Saccharomyces cerevisiae S288C: one gene and its partner. The protein of the gene in region 2 purifies or fractionates together with the protein of the main gene of each other region. This does not show direct contact. Each region holds a gene or a part of one and is shown on either strand. Other genes may lie near its edges.

Region 1 (3,517 bases), on a different chromosome or scaffold from region 2:
TTTGTTACAAAATACTTGCTAAGTAATATTAAAAGGATACTCTATGAATACAATCAGTAAAAAGATGTTGGTACTAGCGCCGGTGTTAAAATGCACACAAAATATACCATAATCTTGACTACGTAGGAATAAATCCTGTATAAAGTCAAACCAAAAACAACGTTACCTTGATCTTACTATTGCCAATAAGTATGAAAACCTCAGATTAATTATGGGCAATAATTGCGTATTGAAAAAAAATTGAAAAAATATGTGATGCGAAGTTCTAGCTAATATGTATGTATCTCATTTGGCTAGGTCGTAATGTCTCGGATAAATGCCTGCTCAATTGAACCTAAAGAGTAATCTCGTTTCATTCGACCTCAGTTGCCTGTATAACGTTCCTCTGGGTGTTACACGTCAAGTTATATTTTTCGGATTGGACGGATTGCGAAAAAATCCTTGAGTAATAAGCCACTAGATTGTATCCTACTTCACCATTTTCTATTTCTGTTTCTGTTTCTTTTTTTATTTTCTTTCTCGTTCTATATGCAGCAGATAATGGATTAAAGCTCCCTGACAGGCAAATTCCTGAGTCAAATCAGGAACGGTCGTGATACCAAGAGAGTCTGGCTTTGAGTGTTCTCCAATAATAAGATTGGAGCATTTTGACGTGGATCTAGGGAGTATATCGGAAAAAGTTCTTGTATAATGGCCAATTACGAAATCTGGAGCCTTACTTTTTCCTTGATCTGGTTTTTGCCTTTCCTTTTGGTTACTATTTGAGTAATTGAGCCTGTCCTCATCTAGGAACATCAATCGAAAATGATCGCTGTAGAATTTCACATGCCAACGAAAACGCATACCGTCCAAAGTGGAATATAGATCTCGCATATTACTTTGTTTGATTATTTGGTATTTTTTGACCGGCTGCGTTTTAGAAGGATAGAAGAAATCGTATTTAGTTTCAAAAAATCCTTGATGAGCATAAATTTCACAATATAAAATTTTGCATAAACGAAAAACTTTATCTTGACAAATAACTTTACAATCAGAGTATAAAGGCGGATCTTGCACCCCTTGTAAAACGTACTTGTAGATATAGAAATCCGGCGAGCTCCGAGTAATTTTGCCAATAACGTTATAACTTTGGACAATATGAAAAAGAGGAACACCTACACCATCCGCATCTAGAGTACTGATATTAAAGTTTGTCTGTTTGAATTTGTCATAGGATTGCTCACTTGAGAATACAAAATATCCTCTAGTCCCGAATATACTTGCAATGGGCATATTTCTCTCTCTGCTAAAATGGAGACGTTCAGGAATTGTGTTCCTTTGAGTCTTTTCAATTCTATAATTATCATCATCACTCAATGGTTGACCACTGAAACCACGCATTGTTAATTGGTTGTTTCTTCTTTGAATTATTATGTCTTGGTTTCTACTGCCCGCCTTATATACAGTAGCTCAGTGAAAGTGGCTGCTACAGTTTTTTCGCTGTTTCTATGTACAATGCCTTTGAAAAATTAAGAGGCTTACGAATGAACATGAGCCCCTGTTGCTGACAATGAAGTGATATTTCTATGAAAAGCCTCGCTTTTATAAGCCTTTATGACATACACCATAGGCGATAATCGGGGAGAAAGGTTTTCGTCAAGAGCTCACTATCAGTATTTTCTCAGTAATTCGAGATACCACTATCATAGAAACTTCAAACCCACTGTAAGTGATGCAAGTACAGTGTAACCTTCATTTGTTTGCGAATTGAAGTTTGATTAAATAATAACTTATTACGTAAGTATTTACGAGACATTTGCGTATCGTTGCCCGCTAATTTTCATCGAACTGGCATTGAATGAGAGTAATAAAGGAAGAAAGTTCTTAATTCACTCGCCTAATTTTCAACCTACCTGATGTATTACCCTTCACCGTTGACTGGCAAAACCTGGTTGAATATCGCTCCCTCGGAAAAATGATATCAATCCTGCAATGAGAGATTGTATATTGCGCATTTTCTATATCAAATAAATGAAGAAAAGTGGCAACTTTGACTCTGCAACGAAGACAGTTCTGAGATGAATGGCAGAAAGAACTGCAGCTTCGAAGAATGCTTTTCGGGAAGGTAAATGAATAGCTAGAACATTTTCAATTGGATACCCTGATGTAATGCAAAACTTTTGTTTTCTATCATGCCTAAAGTATCAATTCATATCATGATGAAAAAGGTAACTCTATGTAGCCATCCGTGTTTCAAGATTATGTTCTCGTGATTGACAACTTACGACAGTGGCGCTGTATATGTCAGATGCGACTGTATTGAAACGATCCACATTCTAAAGGGTGCTGCTTATTATTCCTCCGATAAGTACTGTTCCCGTAACCCTGATTACCCTTCGATATTTATTAATCAGGGAGGAAATAATAATAAAGCGAATAGCGATTTTATACTCATGCGTTAAATTTGTATTTTTGCCAACTCAATCTAAATGACTGCAATTTTTCATACCAAGAATGTTAGCAATGTACCCTTTTTTTAAGTAGTGGTGTGCAGTGAAGGATTGTTATTTGGCGATGAAAACTAATTGCAAATCCCCACAAATAGGATTTTTAAATAACAGTAAGGGTGAGGTGTAGTACCTTCGCCGGCTTATTAGATTCCCGCTGATTTTTAAGGACTAAATGCATTGAATATTAATGGAGTACAGTTATTTCATACAGTAATTAAACAAGGTCCGTGTTTTTGTGGTTTTGGTATTCGTAACAGGTTAGCATTGATAGGGCGGATTGAAATGCTACCAATTCTGGAATTCCTCCACGTATTCTATCCATTTGTCACCGTGTTCAAGAACTCTTTTTGCCGTCAACTCTCGTGTCTTGTCTACAAAGCCCTCTGACCCGCAACAAGTGACCAACAAAGATTTTGCACCACTTACTGCTTCTTCAATTATCTCATCGATATTTGGTCGTCCAAAATCAGTAATCATTTCCGCTGATTTCGATGTCGTCAGCAGTCTGCCTTCCGTGCTCATATTAGCAATTGCTCCCTCCTCCGTGTTCGATTCATCTTTTCGCTCTCCTGTGAAGTAAATTTTTGTGTCTATGTTCAACTCTTTTAGCACCATTATCTCTTTGCGATACACTTCTAAGAGATCAAGGTTACGTACACTCCACACAAATTTGATCATTTGATGAGAATCGTTGCTTTTGACCTGGCGACCTGCCTTTATTGCCATCGACAGAGGTCCAGGAACACCCGCCCCTCCGGCAATAAACAGGAGGCTTTCGAACAAATGTGTTCGCGTGCTTTGTCCATAAGGTCCTTCTGCTAGTACTCGCATTTCCGTGTACCCTTCGCTCTCTAAAAGGTATTCCTGTAATTTTTTGGTTAGCCCATTTTTCACTGTTATCACAACTACCAACTCACCATCCTCAACCAAAGAATCCATGACCGTGAATGGATGTGATTGCCAGAATATTTTTGGTCTTAAGAAGTACAGATATATATATTGGCCAGGTTCTGCTTTCCACCATTTGG
Region 2 (3,891 bases):
CAGGAAATTTTCACGCAGAACGTGCCTAAGAAAAAAAAATCATATGCGTTTACAGGCACAAATGAAGAAAATGACCGGATATGGATATAAGCTTATGGAAGAAATTGCTCCTATTGAGTTAAGAATATGCGAGCGAGACCTGCATAAGGCTAATTATAACTCTTCAACCCAAATTTGTCTTTCTCTTCACACCCATCTCTTATAGTCCCATATATTCATATGAAAGTTCAATGCTTAGACTCAGTGTGTACTTATGATGTCGTTGAAGGCTATTTGGTCTACTGAAAATCCTACCTCGTACGAATACCCTTATAGTATTATTTAAATATGGGGTTACTATTCGCATTCGTTAGAGTGGTGGGAAATTGATATCTTGTTTGGGAGTTGCGAAACAAAAGAGGAGAAGATATGCGCGCTATGTTTTTCTTAAAAGAATGCCTACTGCCTATGAAATGAATATACTAAACGTAAAAGTGTAGATAATAGAAACAAAGATTAAGGTCGCTTACTGTAAAAAACGTCTTCATTTTAATTCAACGAAATAAAAGAAATCACGTGGAGTGTAGCACCGCCAAAGAGCTATTTTTTATGTCTTCTAGTTGAGGCCTATTTCCATTCTGCGACGAAAGTGTGCTTCTCTCACTTGGGCTAATCCATTTTTCAACAAAATCAGCAACGTCTTCGACTTCGCAGCTACTAGAAGAACTGTTAATACCATTATAAATGTTCTGTAACTGTAAGAAGTCCGTCATGAAGCATATTCTTCCACTCCGTTTGTCTGAAAATATTGAATCCGAATATGGCTGTACTATCTGGCTAGATCCCGTCGGCCGTGGGCTTATTAAACTCTTTAATAACGATATTATTGTTGGGCTCGATCTTTGCGGGGTGTCTACAATGAAAAGTCTATGTTCTGGAATATTATTCTTGATTGTCATCAATATCTCAATTAATTTAGTGGGGATATAAAGTTCTTTACCAGGACTTACATGGGATCGATCATTGAACATTTGTTCTAATGCAAGTTCACATGAGTAGTCAATGGCGCTATCAAAGCTCTTGGATTTTTGTCCATTCTTATTGATATCCACAAAGCACTGTTGCCACCCTTTGTCATCTGAAGAGTACCTTACTAAATCGTGGGTTGTGTATTTTATAACATCATTAAGCATCAAAATTTGGATTGGATCCTCTATGTGAAATTTTTTCTGTAAAAAATATGGGGAAACCGGATAATCTTGTACCAAACTGACTGATCCAGGTATTCCGTCTAAGAGCTTCGAAGGTATTTTGTCACACTTGTATAGAGGTACCATGAAATATTTTATTTTCTGGAACATGTTATCAGATAAAGTAGACTTGAGATATGACATTAAATTTTTGCAAATCTGAATTGCTTGGGGTAAATCCGTGTAAATATTCACAATGTTAAGATCGTAATAAGGATAGTCATTTAATTTGTAATTAACCAGTAGCCATTTGGCAAGGCATTTGCTAAATTGTGGCTCACAGTCAAGAATGTTATCAAATGAAAAGGGTTCTTCTTTTGCGGTTGTAGTTACAGGCTTCCTTTGCGTAAAAAAATTTTCTCTTTTCATTATGTTTGGGAAATTTTGCCACTCTATGTAATCTTTCAAAGAAATTCTCGCAGTTTGGCCTCTTCTTATCCCATTTGTAGAGAGTAATTGCTCGAAAGTAAACAGTGGGTAATCAGATTTCAGATGAACTTGAATTCTCAAGGGGTGTAATCTTTTCATCATTCAATCCCGCCAAAAGCACCTTTAAATGATATCAACTTTTTTGTGAAAATATTAGTAAGCTATTTAAAACGGGAAAGAAAACTTGAGAGAGGACTGACGAGGGAATCATGTTTATATTCGGATCATCGCGAATCTACGCAATGGTGTATCCTACTTTCTCACATTTTGGTTTTTCCCGCTTTCGGAAGGAACTGCAAAACCGCCGAGAGGACTTTCTCTTTTTGCAATATTTGAAGTATATACCAATAATTAAGAAGGTGAACAGGCATTTTACATATTCATTATAGATAGTGTATGTGCGCATCTATTAGTTGTGGTTTTCTGCTACAAAAATTTATCGTCTAAATAATTCAAGTTCTTTTTCTAGGTCGAAGAAAAAATCGCTGTCATCCTCATTTGTATTTTGGTTTGTACCATCATTGACATTTATATCGTGACCTGGGGGAGACGATGAAACTGGGCTCATTTTTGTTATATTTGGCTCAGTAGGTCCGTTCAGTAGTTCACTATTTTCATGCTTAGTATCTTGTTTGAAGGTGTTTTCCTTTTAGTTAACACCCTGAAATGAATTAGAGCTTATTCCCATAAGGTTTTGATATGGCTGGGTTGTAGTTAGTGATGGAAGTTGGCTTACATAGGAAAATTCAGGACTATAACTGGGTAAAACTTTCCTAGAAGGATGGACCTGTACAACTTCTTGAGGAATGGCATCCTCTAAAGATAGTGATGATGATGGGGAATCACCGCTAATAGGATGTTTTCTAACAACTTTCCTGAAATCAAATACTTCCTTTATAACTTCGTTTCCTAATTCCGCCATACTTTCGATATGCTCGAATTCGAATCTAAAGGTCTTTTGACATGAGAATTCCTCATCTATATCATGCCACATTGACAAATATGGATGCTCTAGTGCATCCTCTACAGTAATCCTTTTTTTAGGATCAAATTCTAGCATTTTCTTTAGCAATTCAAGCGCTTCTGGATTAGCACCAGGTAGTATGCTTTCAAACGATCTTCCCGGGATATTACCGAACTGAAAGATATAATTATACACCTTTTGAGAGGCAATTTCCTGCAATGTTTCCTCAGGTGGTGTTCCAAGTATTTGTAGAATATGATTCAAATGATCTACATAATCCTTCCCTTCAAACATTGGTTTCCTACCAAGTAGTTCGGCCAAGATACAGCCTGTTGACCAAATATCGACAGCTTTTGTGCATTCTTGATAATTCAGCAAAATTTCTGGTGCTTTATACCATATCGAGGTTATATAACCCTTAATGAAGCCGTCGTTAACCTTGTGGTTTTCTGAATAACTACACGATAGCCCAAAATTACAAATTTTTAGTTGGCAATCACTATTAACAAGTAAGTTTTTTGGTTTCAGGTCACAATGTAAAACATTAGCAGAATGTATGTATTTCAGAGCACACAGTATCTGATATATGAAGCTTTGAAAGTGTGCGTCTTCCAGGCGTTGTTCGGACCTTATAATTTGAGAAAGGTCACATTCCATTAGTTCTTCATATAAATAAACGCCATTTAGTGCCCCATTTGGGTAAAATACTATATCAGTATCGAAGAGCCACACTATATTTGGGTGCCCTCTTAAATGTCTTAGTAGTTTCAATTCACGAAGAGTTCTCTTGCAAGATAGTTTATTGCCAAACGCGTTTGGTATTTTTCTGATAGCCACGTGAGTTTCCTCGTTCGATTCTGTGTAAGTTGAAGAACAAATAAGGCTGTGTGAGCCCCGACCAATCTTACCTGTCAAATGAAAATGTTTATTTAGGATAAAATCTTGGCCGAATGCACGGAAAATACACCTCTCGGTGTCAGTCGCCATTTAATTGTGAATCTTTCTTCGATATCAAACTATTCCAGGCCGAATTAATCTGGCGGTAAGTCACCTTTAGTTATCCTTCCATTTTGTCCCTTTTCATCCAGTCTCAAACGACAATTAGGACTTACATTAAATAGGCTTTTTGCCTAGTATAACATCATAAAAGTACCTTCTTTTGTTTCTTCCAAAAAAAGACAGTAACCATCTGAAAAGAACGTCATTGTCGAAAATTACAAAGTTTGTGGCAGCGCTTTTTACTGCAGCAAGTCAATTGCTTTCATGGCA

Evidence for each region.
Region 1: the proteins of YKL162C (region 2) and YOR385W purify together in Saccharomyces cerevisiae (affinity purification with mass spectrometry, with the first as the bait; one large-scale study listed by BioGRID). This does not show direct contact.

What each region holds. Positions count from the first base shown.
Region 1 is NC_001147.6:1,062,906-1,066,422, reverse strand, and holds YOR385W (uncharacterized protein), read right to left. Parts: upstream 1,381-3,517; coding exon 508-1,380; downstream 1-507. Other genes in the region: FRE5 (putative ferric-chelate reductase), read right to left, coding at 2,775-3,517.
Region 2 is NC_001143.9:147,079-150,969, forward strand, and holds YKL162C (type II protein arginine methyltransferase), read right to left. Parts: upstream 1,761-3,891; coding exon 552-1,760; downstream 1-551. Other genes in the region: putative protein kinase KDX1, read right to left, coding at 2,308-3,609. UniProt on the Saccharomyces cerevisiae protein: Arginine methyltransferase involved in the assembly or stability of mitochondrial NADH:ubiquinone oxidoreductase complex (complex I).